Linked DNA regions of Coturnix japonica. Each later gene encodes a partner of the first gene's protein in a complex. Links are inferred from orthologs where the notes say so. Each region holds a gene or a part of one and is shown on either strand. Other genes may lie near its edges. The genes, in order: INTS7 and INTS12.

The links.
Region 2: INTS7 (region 1) and INTS12 share a complex: the UniProt entries of both Homo sapiens proteins name them as parts of the integrator complex. The link is inferred for Coturnix japonica from reciprocal best matches to the Homo sapiens genes INTS7 and INTS12.

What each region holds. Positions count from the first base shown.
Region 1 is NC_029518.1:19,454,455-19,461,604, forward strand, and holds part of INTS7 (integrator complex subunit 7), read left to right. Parts: intron 1-1,091; coding exon 1,092-1,229; intron 1,230-1,593; coding exon 1,594-1,640; intron 1,641-1,798; coding exon 1,799-1,998; intron 1,999-2,946; coding exon 2,947-3,069; intron 3,070-3,488; coding exon 3,489-3,606; intron 3,607-4,530; coding exon 4,531-4,665; intron 4,666-5,199; coding exon 5,200-5,297; intron 5,298-5,767; coding exon 5,768-6,007; intron 6,008-7,150. UniProt on the Homo sapiens protein: Component of the integrator complex, a multiprotein complex that terminates RNA polymerase II (Pol II) transcription in the promoter-proximal region of genes.
Region 2 is NC_029519.1:34,250,057-34,257,206, reverse strand, and holds part of INTS12 (integrator complex subunit 12), read right to left. Parts: coding exon 7,105-7,150; intron 6,078-7,104; coding exon 5,925-6,077; intron 5,471-5,924; coding exon 5,283-5,470; intron 2,927-5,282; coding exon 2,767-2,926; intron 2,472-2,766; coding exon 2,319-2,471; intron 900-2,318; coding exon 315-899; 3' UTR 1-314. UniProt on the Homo sapiens protein: Component of the integrator complex, a multiprotein complex that terminates RNA polymerase II (Pol II) transcription in the promoter-proximal region of genes.

The DNA.
Region 1 (7,150 bases):
GTAGGAGCTGTCTTCCACATTCATCATAAAGGCAAAAGCGGGGACATCTCATAGGGAGTGAGCAGGAGATGTGTAAGTGGAAGAACAAGGTTTTTGCATGCTTGTATTTGTGATGTGAGAGTTGTGCAGATGGCTCCAGGTGAGATGGGAATCCAGTGGGTAGAAAAAACCACACTTCAAGATATCTTTAATGTTGCTGTCCTGCTGCTTTGGTCTCTGTATCTCTAACAGTACCCAGCATTATAATCTTTTCTTCATCTTCCTTCAACTCCTGTGTGACTGAATTAAAATGTGAACAGAGCACTCCTTCTCCCTTGCTTATTCATTTCTCCTATCTATTCAGAACTGTTTCTGTTCTCACTGTTGAAAGATGAGAGTCATTAACAGAGGTTTGGTTTATTATCTCACACACCCATTTCTTTTTATATTTTTGAGATTATGGTTTTATGCTTTAGGATCTCAAAAAAACAAATGATGAGAGACTGATGTTTGTTTGCTTCATTATAGTCACTCTCTAGAATTTTCCCTTTCTTAGTATGTAGTTAATTTTGACTTCTCAGACATGTATTGATTCAATTTGAAGATTTAATGGGAAGAATAGAAAAGGTAGAAACAACTTTGTAAATGCTATTTTAATTCTCCTAAACTACCAAAATGACTGACTTTTAAATCGCATGATATATATTGATATATATTTGTGTATGCGTGCAGTAATGCATTTTAGCATTAAATCTGTTGCGCTGATATCAGAGCTTGGGCACAAAAGTGTCTTTAAAAATGGTGTACCCCATGCCATGGTGTGCTCCTCACTTTATAACAATTGTTTTCCACTAATGATACTCCAATATGGTTACTTTTTTGTTGTTTGTTTTCATTAAATGACTAACAGAAGGCTGATACCAGCATAATCATGTTTTAGCAATATGCCTGCTGTCAGTGTGTCTTTGTTTCTGTAGTGAATGTAAAAGAGCCCTCATTTATATAAAAGCCAAGACTTTAAGCCAGTCCTTCTGTGCTTCCCTTTGATTTCATCTTGCATTACTTCATAGTCAGTCATTGTGCTTGCTCCTTTTCCTGATCTGTGTCTGTAGGATGTTGGGCAGCATGGCGTCTATCATTCCAGAAAGGAAGAATGCACATCACAGTATTCGCCAGAGTTTGGATTCCCATGATAATGTGGAAGTTGAAGCTGCTATTTTTGCTGCTGCCAACTTTTCTGCACAGTCAAAGTAAGGTGGAATTTTTTTCTCCCCCGTTTTTCACATTGCAAAGAATAACAGCTCCACTGTTGCTTACTGAACTTAGTATTTTCTTCAGTGGTGGTAGAACATCCTTCACAGCTGTTATATGTCATGATAATAAGTGTAAGGAAGTCTGAATTCGAGTCTAAAAAAACCTATGAAACTTATTTGAAAGCTTCCATTTTATTATTTGATTATGCACCTGTGTAGGGATTCTAAAATAACTAAGTTTTGGCAAGCATTCTTGTGGTGGTTTTTATTATTAAAATTCATTGTTTGGTTCTTCTGTTGATTTTTTTTTTTTAGCCTGTTTGCTTTCATTTCACTTGGTGCTTTGTCTTTTTCTCTACAGGGACTTTGCTGCAGGAATATGTAACAAAATCAGTGAGATGATTCAAGGTATGTACAAATACTGAGTGATGATATCCAGGGCTTCTTTTTTATACATAAGTATATAAAATACCTCTATACCATTGCCCTTACCCCAAATAATGTGTGTCTTAGTACCAGAAAAAGCCAGTACAATAGCCTGACAGTGTCTCTGTTCCCTGTTACAGGTTTAGCCACACCTGTGGACTTGAAATTGAAGTTGATCCCTATTCTACAGCACATGCATCATGATGCTAGCCTGGCCTCCAGCTCCCGGCAGCTGCTTCAGCAGTTGGTAACATCATATCCTTCCACCAAGATGGTCATTGTTACTCTGCACACGTTCACTCTGCTTGCTGCTTCTTCTTTGGTTGACATTCCTAAACAGGTAATTCTTCTTTCAAATGAATCTACAAAGCATGTTTAAAACAAAACAGGGATTATTGAGGATAAACTGTGATCTTTATCTTGAAAGACTGAGTCTATTGCTACAGCTTATGTTTTTAAACCAAGTCGTGAGAAAGCATTGATGAGCAAAATATAATGCTTTTATGTTTAGATAATGGGCTTTGTGATTATGATTCATATAGCAAGTATGAATGCACAGTGACATTTGAGGTTCAACTAATTATAGTAAAGTCATAAAAATCTATTGACCTTTTAATCCATACATTTGTGGCAGGCTGGTGTCTATTTGACTTACTGCATTGATTTGTTTAAAACTTCTTGGGATGGCTGACTTTCAGGAATAGTACTGAATTTGAGCTAGCTGAGACAACATTCAAGCACTTCACATGCTCTTTATGAAAGTAAGCATGGGCTTACAGGCTGTATTTCTGCAACACAGCCGCCTATGTTGTACATATAAATCAGATAGCCAGGGTGTGTGGATTTCTTATTATTTTTTTCTGAGACAGAGTGTATATCTGTGCTGCTCTCTGTTGACTGCAGATCATGCAGAAATGCCTGAAATACTTGCTACTAGTGTAATCGTGACAATGCAAAGTGTTGTCTGAGGTCCTTGGGAATGTTTTTACCAGTGTTTCTATGAGAGCAGGAATAGCACTTAGGGCTTCTCGGGGCATGTGGGGAGGTGGCAGAGAGGTGTGCTTGAAGAGACAGGAGTGAAGGATGGCAGAAAGCAGCTGTTAGATTGATTCCACTTGCCAAGGAACTGCAGTGCAGTCTTTGCCATGTGGGAAGCAAGCAGGCAGGAAACACATGGCAGTTTCATATGAGTATTTTCAAAATTCCTTCATGAATATTCTTGAATATTTATATAATATCTTTATAGTACAATCTCGTCCCCTTAAATGATGAATTTATCTTGTTACAGGTCCAGCTTTTGTTGCAGTACTTGAAGAATGACCCCAGAAAGGCTGTGAAGAGGCTTGCAATCCAAGATTTAAAGCTGTTGGCTAACAAGATGCCACATACATGGAGTAGAGAAAATATTCAGGTTAATACATTTTTAGGCAAAAGTTTGTTATGAAGCTTTGCAATTAGTTGTGGAATTCCTTCCAAGAGAACAATTTGTGAGGGAAGGAAGCAAGAATATGTGCCTCTGTGTGTCCTTAAATTAGGCATAATCTACCAAGCAAAGTAGCCAAATATAAATGAACAATTGAAGTAATGTAACTGAGGAAAAGCATGTGCTGTTGGCTTTAGAACCTGGTGCTACTGATACTTAGAGCAGTTTGTTAGGATACGTGCAAGATGTTTTCTAGATGCTTGCCAGATGAGCAAGTTCTGGTTTGATTTCAGTTTTGCCTGTTTTGGTCATAGGCCCTTCCTTCTTACAAACAGGTGCAACTAGACCTTTAATACAGATAGTTCATGGAACTTCCTTCCATTTGTATCTTCTCCCTTCTCTTGTAGGCACTGTGTGAATCTGCTCTTCACACACCGTATGACAGTTTGAAGCTGGGGATGCTGTCAGTTCTTTCCACATTATCAGGGACCATTGCCATTAAACAGTACTTCAGCAGTGCTCCAGGTAAGAAAACCAGATTAGATGATAATTCTGGGCATTTTTGGTAATTAGCTGTTTACTCCAGAATAGTTTATAGTAAACATTGTTGCATATTCTGAAAGTATTACTGAACTTCAGGGTGCTAGTTGAGGGTCAAACTGTGTTTATTGTATCTGAACTTGAAATGAGAGAGCATGCACCAATGAACAGTCACTGGTTAAGATTCTGTTACAGATCTTGTGGCTAATAAGCTCTGTGAAAGTTTTGTTTACCTTTGGATTTTCAACTTCTTGACATAAACTAAAGAAACAGTTTGCCTTTTTAAATGGTCAGCCTGTGTTCTGCTTAAGGCACTTTGAGACCACGCATTTGTGTAGTGTTTTAGTTTGAATGAAGGGAGCAGTGAAGCATAGAGGCTTTGTAGTTGAGAAGAAGCAGGCATTCTGAAATGATTAAAGGTATCTCATTCTGAAAATGGAAATGATACTGTCTGTTATGTCTTCTTGAAAGGCACTATGTCTTAATGAGTATAATGAGCCCAACAACACTGGCTGCAGAAAAGAGGAGAAACAGTGTGTTTTCATCAGTTATTCTGGCATGTCTTAATATGCTTGATAGTTCTTTTTTTTTTTTTCAGTCATTAAAATCTTTGGGATAAGTCTAAAGATCTCAAAGTTCCTGAAACATGCAGGTCTAAAGGTTGATACTCTTTTCTTTTCTTAGATGTCTAAGTTGCATTTAGGAAAGAGGAGAGAGTCTCAGTGTTAGCAGGTGTGTAGGAATATATGTTAAAATGGTAGGATAAAAACATATGAAGTAAAATAAGTAATTTTAAGAAACTGAGCACCACAAATCAATATAGCTTTAGTACGGGAATATACTTGAAAATTTCATAGTCTAATTAAACTTTGTGCTGTTATATGTCTGGTTTACCTTGTCTTTGTTTAGGAACAGCGACTACAACTGCAAGATCATTTGATTTAGTAAAATTAGCACAGGAGTGCTGTTACCATAATAACCGTGGCATTGCAGCTCATGGTGTGAGAATTCTGACAAATATATCAGCGTCTTGTCAGGAAAAAGGTAAATGAGAGCAAGGACAATGAAATAAGTTTATTTGCAGTCAGGCTTATGCACTTAACATACATTGACTGGTCTTGTCCATGAAGTTTTCTGTGATTCTGGTCCTTCATGCTGGTTATGGGGACTATATAATCTCTGCAAATGTTTTGTGGAATCTTGTGAATGGTTGGGAAGATTCCATCTTCTACTCATTTATAGAAAATTAATGGACACAGTAGAACTGCTAAAATAAATACTTTTGCTATGAATCACTGAATTGTCTGTTAGCCTTTGGTAACTCTTGGCACAAAATCAGCTGCGAAGGAATAATGGAGCATTTAGGAGTTGTTGTCCAGAATTTTATGCTCACCCTACAAATGTCACGTTTAACGTGAGTGCTGAATAATTACCTGAGACAGGATTGCTTCCAATTAAAGCGAGTCAGAATTATTAGGAGAATATTCATCTGTCATCACTGCAGCACCACTGTAAGCACTATGTTGATTAAAGACGGGAACTATAAAAGGGAACTAACTGACTGTTACTTTTTCTTAGATCTTCTGCCTTTGGAGCAAGATGCAGTTTTTGGCTTAGAATCTCTTCTTGTACTCTGTAGTCAAGATGACAGTCCAGGAGCTCAAGCAACTTTAAAGGTGACCATACTGCTGTATTCATTAGCACAGCTATAAGTTACAGTAATGGTTTCTCTAGCAGAAGAGCTGAAGTGTACCGCTTTTCTGTGGTACAGCTATAATGAAACAAACTTGAACAGGGGGTGGAGGTGTCTCTACAGAATGAAGGAATTCTTGGTAAGGGAGAACCCACATTTTCTGAGATGGGGATGCAATCTGCAAGATAACCATGTTCTTATCAACTATTATTTTTATTGTCCCACTTCATTATCTGCTGCTGGTAATTGTATTTAATTATGTACCTGTAAAGGCATGAGAAGAATTGTTTCTTGGTGTCTTTATGCTTTGAGTTTGGAGATAGAGGCTTATGCTCTAAGGAAATCTCCTTTTTGTGTATTTCTGTAATCACACTTGCAGCAAAGTGTCTGTTTTGGTATTACTTTTAAGTAGGCATTGTATTAACTGTATCTGTTGGTGTTTGTGAATTACAGATCACCTTAACTTGTATGGTAAAGTTGGTCAAGTGCCGTCCTCACCTGAGCCAGTCGGTGGTTGAATCTCTGTTGACGCAGCTGCACAGTGCTCAGGATGCTGCTAGGATTCTCATGTGCCACTGTTTAGCAGCTATTGCCATGCAGCTGCCTGTATTAGCAGATGGGATGCTGGGAGATCTGATGGAGCTCTATAAAGTGATTGGACAGTCTACTACAGATAAAAAACAGGAACTCTTGGTAAGACCTCCTTCAGGAGAATAAACCTTGATGGACAAAATCATAGATAGAATGGTTTGGATTAGAAGGGAGATTTAAAACCATCCAGTTCTATCCTCCCTGTTGTGATCAGGGATACCTTTCACTAGACTAGATTGTTCAAAGCCCCATCCAACCTGGCCTTGAACACCTCCAGGAGTGAGGTATCCATCGCTTCTTGCAACAGCCTGTGCTTCACTACCCTCAAAGTAAATAATTTCTTCCTTTTATCTAATCTAAACCCACTCTCTTTGAGTTTAAAGCCATTATTCCTTCTCCTATTACTACATGTCCTTGTAAAAAGTCCCCCTCCAACTTTCTTGTTGGCTACTTTTGGCAGTTCTGCAGGTGGGGTCTCACAAGTTCAGAGCAGAGGGAAACGGTCACCTTCCTTGACCTGCTGATGACACTGCTTTTGATGCAGCCTGGAGTGCTCACCATGTCCTGGGCTATATCAAAAGCAGTGTCATCAGCAGGTTAAGGAAGGTGACTGTGCCAATCAGGACATGGTGGGCACTATGGGCTGCAGTCATATACTGCACATATTGTGCAGTATATTGTGTTTGACTTTAACACCACCTAGCCCTTTTCCTCAGAGCTGCTCTGAGTCCATTCTCTGCGCAGTCTGTGTCTGTGCTTGAAATTGTCCCAACCCAAGTGCATGATGTATCCTTTGACATTATTCAATAAGAATTTCATACAGGCCTACCTCTTAAGCCTGTCCAGGTCCCTCTTGGTGGCATCCTTTTCCTCCAGTGTGCTGACTGCACCTCACAGCTTGGTGTCATCAACATGCTTGCTGAGGGCATACTCAGTCCTACTGTTTATGTCACTGATAAAGATGTAACAAAGTGCCTGCCCAGTACTGACCCCTGAACACCTCTTGTGACTGATGCCCATCTGGACATGAAGCCAGAGAGTGGCCATGCAGCCAATTCTTTATCCACCAAGCATTCCATCCATCAAATCCATCTCTCTCCAAAGAAGAGTTGAGAATGTCGTGTGGGACAATGTCAAATACATAGAAAATAAGTACAGCTACCTCAATATTAGTTCTTCCTTCACCTACCAGCATTGTAACCCTGTCTACATAAACTACTATAGATAGCTTTTTTCCTTCCAAAG
Region 2 (7,150 bases), on another chromosome or scaffold:
AGCTTAAGTTCAATTTGTGCCCACAAATTGTATTCTTAAATACATCAGAATTCCCAATGCTTACAATTTTACATTCCATTGCTTTGAGCTAAAAACCAACAACATATAATAGGGAATATTCCTCTAACAACAACCTCAGTTTTCAGATTTATAACATCAGAAGGAATGCTAAGATTACCTCTTACCTCCTGTATAGCATAGGTTTGGGCTTCCCTAATTACTGGTTCAGTCCAGTAACTCGTGGATTTTTTAATATAAAAGATAAATGCTGCTGTTTTGCAGATCACAGCCAACAAGATCAGCAAACAGCTGCACTACTTCTTGAGTTTCTTTTGAGCAGCCTTCTTCTTGACCATTTGTAGCCTCTTCATTGCATTGAGCTGAGATTCCTGAGAAGTTGGGCCTTTCAGGGAGGCAGACTGATTACCCGCATCTGCTGTAGTTTTGCTTGTGTTACCCCCACTGCTACCTGCAGTCCCACTGTTGCCATTCCCACTGCTCACCTGGCTGCTGGTGCTTGGTGCAGTGCTGCTGGGACTAGGAAGGCCTACTTTGCTAACATTGTCGCTACTTACCGAACGACTAAGAGTGGTTTTTCCCAATGTCAGAGGTGGAGGAGGTTTCAGCTGAACAGGGCTTGTGCTATTGTTAGCAGAAGCTATTTTTGACCCTAGTCCCGTTTTGGAAGCTGCCAACCCTGACAGACCCACAGGTTTCTGGTTATTTGAAGCTGCTGCAGGTTTCCCACTGGCATTCTGTGCTGTTGATCCCAGTTTGGCAGTTGATGGATTGGCAGAGGAGTTTCTGGCTGCAAAAGCAGCCCATCCTGTAAGGCCACTTGTGGTTGCTGAAGAGGAAACACTTGTACTGGCTGAGTTCCCCGAAACTGCTGCTGAGGGCTAAAAAAAAATAAATCATTCTTGTTATAGCAGCATTTATTTGTATAATACATCATAGCAGGATGAGATTGAGCCTCTGTTTTAGTTCTTTATCCAGAAACACACAGTAGACAATATTTCATCCCTGGTCACTGTAGTTAAAAAAAGCAGTAACAAGAAAAGAAAAGGATGCAGGTGCCAATAACTTTAAATTTCCCAGCCAAATAAAACCAATACCTTTTTTTCTACACAGGCTATTATATAGCAATGAGATCCCCCCATAAATTTTTAAAACTGGTTTTACTGAAATAACTACTGTGCAGACCTGTGAAGTATAAACACAGGAGACAAGCCGGTATTTTTTATTGTTTGCCATTAACTGGTGTCACAAGATAACAGATATTGAGATTAAAAAAAAAAAAAAAGCAACAGAAAAACAACAGCTCCCTAGTAATTAAACACTGCATTTTATTGCATTCTTTTGGTTAAAGTATAAGAATCAAAATTTTCCTTTACCCATCTTTGTTCTTAGCAGCCTATACCCCACCACACAGTTTTAAAGAAACTGAGTCATCAGACTTCTTTCCTCTAGTCTTTCCATTCAGGCACCACAAAAGACAAATGTTCTCCAGACAAAGCTTCCATTGAATGCAAGACACTGTATACATTACCTGCAGCTCCCAAACCTCAACCAATCCCCAGTTTTCAGCTGGGGATAATACAGATGTTGACTTATTAAAACCAGACTCATACTAGTTTACGGCCATGGTGAAAAAAAGCCATCATGTCATTCAGAGCAGTTTCCACCTAAGCAGCACAACTGCAAATTTACATCTGAGAACATAAATGATTGCTTTGACTCTGCGTTACAGGTGAGTTCCTTCAGTAAGCATCACTGTTCAAATTCTTTGTCATTTAGTATACTGTTTCTGGTTTATCATCCTAACCAACTTGCAACAACAGGTATGAAAAAACAACACTTGGTAAAGAAGTAGAAAGCTAATATATGTTGTCTCAAGTTTCTAAATTAGACCCTACAGAATCAGCTGTATTTCCCTACTGCCATGAGGAGAAGACTAACTACCAAAATATATGTACATTACTTGGCCACAGAGAATAAATATTATCTTTTATAGTGTTCTGAGGACCTGTATAAAATCCTGCCTGTATAAAATAACGTTAAGAAAAATTCTTAGAGTAAATTCTGTTCTGTCCCTCTTAACATAAAAATACTGAATGTTTCAGGGACTTACAACTGAATAGAGGTATTGCCCCCCATACTCTTTTGATGCTAATGCAAAACCACTATGCTGTATTACCATTCAGTATAAATAGTACAGCAGACCACATTCATTCATTGTGCTTGTGAGAAAATGTGTCTAAAAAAGAGATATACAGTAAAATGTAAACTTCTTTTCTAGAAAATTTATAGTACTTTACCTTCACTTCTGTTCTCTTGAATGCTAGAAAAGTTGTTTGGGTCTCAGGTTTCAATTTAATTTCAGATTTCTTGATCAATGGATCCTTCACAGCTGGTTCAACTGAAACCACGGCTGGAGCTGGTTTTTGAGGTGGTTTTTGTGTCTTCTGAGCCTGAGTGGTAGAAAAACAAAACAAAACTAGTTAGAGATCCTACAATTCTGCTTTAAGAAAGCATGAGCATTATCATATTGCAGTCTAGCCTTTACAATTTGAAACTGAAAAGTACTGAGAAATAAAGCAGTAATAAGTTGCAGGTGTGGAGGCCACATCAAATATGGTACAGGTGATAAGGAGCGAGAAAAATGGCTCTCCAACATTCTACCAAAGATTTCTGTAACTCATAGTAAGAAATAACCTGCTCTATTTCAATAGTGCTCATACTAGACAAAAAAAACCTGGCTCCTACCATTCTCTTCATCTGTCTGGTACAGCGGGCACAGTACCATACAAGTCGAGGATCATTCACTTCCTTGTCTGTCACCTGAGGTTTATGGCAATCCTGGTGGTAGAGATTATGGCACTCCTGACACTCTACTAGCTGATTCCCAGAAATAACGGTCATTTGTCTGCAGAGCAAATAGTTAAGAACAGATTATTGGAAAAAGCACTTCAAGGATAATCCAAATGCTGTAAATTTTGCAAAGCTTAAGATAAAAAATAAAAATATTTTTGCTTTCATGAATATTTTCTACCTGTAGCAGATGAGCTATGCTGATATTTCTTCCTAATATCTTAAACTATGAATTGTTAGATTTTCATGGGAGAACCTAAATTTAAAAACTTCAATATTATGAAACAGGCATACATGATGCTTCCTGTACTTCTGTTTGATTTTTATATTACAGTAGCATCCAAAGAGCTAGCCTACATTTGGATAATTTTGTTGCAAGTTACAAAGCAATGCAGTTCAAGAACAGATAATTTTGCACTGACGAGTATGTAAGAGTGCTTTCTTCTGATGGATGATTCAAAAGCATCACCATCCCAACTCTATACTAACTTACTGATGTTTTATTAGCTATCCTTTTGGTTCCTACAAACAGACACTTGGAATTCGAGATAATACCAAAATCTTGAAAAGATGGAACACAGAGGATTAACTGTGAAGCTCTGTTTTGAAGCAAATACACAAGCTGGTAAGGACTTAATTCTGCTGTGGGACTCTGGTGAAAGTGATCGTGCTGTATGAGTGACAAATTAGTGATGTACACATGACTGTGAATGTGTCTAAATTAGCCAAATATCAGTTTCCTGATGATTTCTTTTTTTCAGATGACAAATCAGGCTATTTAATTGCTAAGCTGCTTTGGCTCATAAGCCTGAAGAGCAGGTACCCAGGTAACCATGGAAACTCTATTTGTAGATGGGTACAGAAAGGTAATATCTTATTTCTCTATAAGAAGAAAAAGTAGTCTGAAAGTATTGTCCGCACGGACACTAGAACATTTTCTAAGGAATATTTCTCTTTCAAATGGGCTACCTGAAAAAACAAAAGACTTCTAAAATTCTACCACCCCTTTAGAGATGCAGGAAATTTCAAAAGCCATTTTGCTTATTATTCCTAAATAAATGGGGTAAAAATGAAGCAGTGATGCTTTAACCCTATGTCTCAAGCAAGAAGACTCACTATTTTAAAGTTCCAAAGACAACTGCAGACTAATTTGAAAAAAAAACAACAAAACACTCAACTCTTCATTCCCAGAATCAAGTTAAACCAGTCTCATTTTTAAACAATTTGATGAATGAAAAGCAAACTTAATGATCTCTTAATTTCAGAAAACAAACAAGTATTCCTAAAAAATAGGGTCATTCTTTCAGGAATGGGCTTTAATTTTTTGTCAGGGTTTACTATCAGCTGCAAACTACAAATAGTATTACTTCTTCATATGACTGAGGATCCTTGTAACTGTTGAGTCCTGTCTTTCTAAGACCTAAAATTATTGAAGAGATTGAGGTTATATTAGCACTCTCTTTGTGCCTAGTTTGTCCCAGCAGAACAGAATCAGAAATAGATTACATAGATAACAATAGATAACAAATGTTAGTATTTCAACTTAAGATACCCAGCCCCAGGAAGGGACCTTAGGTTGGCAGCTGAGCAGTAAGTAGTGGAATGCAGTACTAACAAATATGTTGGATTTAGAAAACCTGAAACATAAATGTTCTGAAAAACAATCCATCTAACTTAAGTTGGAAACTGAGAACCAGAAGGCATTGGTACCAGCGGGATTCATGTACAATGAAAACAAACACCAAGTCTTGTGAGACTGCTAACATCCTCTAATGAGTTTCCTCCTGATATGCTTCTTCCTCTCTTTAGCATCACTTTAATAAGAGCTATTTTATAATTACTGCTGTAGGAAAATTGAAAGATTTATTTCTTCAGGTGTTTGAACTGTTCCTCCTTTTTTAGTGTCTATAACAAAAAGTTAAACATTTGAGCTAACACATGGGAATAATGACATGAAATCTCATCATTCTACACTTAGCTAACAGTATAATTAGCTGCAACAATGGGAATTCCTCCATGAACTAGAGACACCTCAAAAACGTGCTTTCTCATTTGGCTTAAGCTGAGCTAGAATACAATAATTCTAAGAGTCCAGCTAGTAAATGCCAGTTCCACCTTCCTCCCTGCCTATGTTCTTGTAGCCATGCATACATGAGAATAAGTATGCTCACTGAGCTGACTGAAACCTATACCTGCTCTTTCCTGAAGAAGAGCCATTTTTATTCACTGAAGGCTCCATTTTCAAACAACTATTCTTATTTGTGAAGAATGCTTACATATATCACTAATCTTGTATTTGTACTTAAGTAATTTCCAGAATACAACCTGCAGGGTAGAATTAACTGAATGCTACGTGAGCAAAAACCAACCAAAAGTAAATATATTATTGCAATGAAACACTGTTGATTTACCTGCAAACGACACAGGCCAAACCCATTTCCATAGCAAAGTCATCAGCACTGGTCTCCTCAAAGCTCGACAAATCAGGCATGGATAAATCTTTACTTGTCTGAACTGTAATAGGAGAAGAACGAGTCTCTTGCTTCTCAAGTCTGGGCTTCTTTGGTACATCAGCTCCTTCAGCAGCATCCCCTTTCATCTATAGGGAAAGAGTATGAAAAAGCAGAAAGCTGATTGACCTTACTAAAATGAAAAAATTACTACAACACTTAAGATGGAAGTATAAAAATGTATATTTACAAAGCATACACGCAGCATATTTTCCTTTGATACATCTACTCCAAAATATTCATTAATTAGAAACTCAAGTCCACTTTTTATGCTTCACTACAAAAATCTTGATAAAGCGTTGGAGAAACCCACATTTCAGGCTGCTACATTTTAATAACTTGTCAGTGTATTTAAAGTATTTATGAAATAATTTTAACTAGACCTTTACTGGATTGCCTAAACAACATGATTTGACAAGGCAGATTGTAGGCTATGCACTATTAGCAAGAGTTACACAGACTACATGGGAAGAGAGCTTTTACTAAAACAGCTTCTAATTTGTTAGCCAGATTACATCAATACAGAACAAAAATTAGACTCACTTTATCAGCAGACCTCTTTTCTGTTTCTTTTTTCACCTTTTCTGATGTGGTAGGCTTGCCATTGTTGTTACCAGAAGGCAAACTAGAAGAGGCTTTAGGATCTTGCTTACTGGAAACAGGTTTGGTAACACATACTTTTGGTTGCTCTACTTCCTAAAAACAGGGAAAAAAAAATGAACTATCAAAATCAATCCCTATCTCCTGTTTTGCAGTTAGATCACAGTTTAGGCAAACAAAATGTCACACAACACTTTTCAACTGTACATACATTCTTCTAAATATTTCTTATGTCCTTTTATATCCAGAAATCACTGGGCTTAAACTACAGTTATTAAAATCTCCCTTAACACTCATCTCCCAGATAAAAAGATTTATGCTAAAAGTAAGTTGACATGTGCTGTTGCTGGACATCAATACATCGTTCCTTTATGGAGGCAAGTCTTAATCTCAGTTCACATTCACCTACCAGTTTAATAATTTGGATCTCAAAAGAAACTGATAGATCTTATTAGTGATGCATTAGCATCAGCAATGTATAATAAAAAAAAACCAAGAGATCAATCATAGCATTGTGAGCATTGTGCACGAGAAAGATATCCCTCCAACATGGTTGGAAGTGGCTAATTCCCTGCTGTGTACTGAGATGAGCCCTGAGCTTCAAGTCAGCCCCATCAACTTTCCCAATTTCCTGTTGCATGCAGACAGTGACAACTTGCCAAGATGCTACAGCAATCAGCTTCCCAAGCCTCTCTGTGGTATTATTCAGTTCTGACAAAAAGCTCCTGAAAGTCATAACACCTGTGTTATTACAGAGAATTGTAGTTTAGGTTTCAGGGTGTTAACATAGAAAAGAATTAGACTGTGTAGTACAAGCATCATGTATGCCACAGGAGCAATACTGTCTTTTTGATAATTTAAGAAGTACCTGTAGAAGGAAAATATTAACATGTGTGAATACAGACCATCATCAGAACATACCTGGCTGACTTGTCAACATCCTAAGGGAGAAAACTACCTCATTAATTATTTGGCAATACAAAGCAGTACTAAAACGCACCCACTTGATTGTTTTCATATGCTAATCTCAGATTCAAATATTCTGTCTAGCAAAATGAACTAGGAATAGTCGGGTCTGTAAAGGCATGTAAAAATGTTATCCTGTGTTATCTAATACTAGTACCTTCTGAGATGGACGATAACTTGAATCAGCTCCTCTGGCCAAAGAC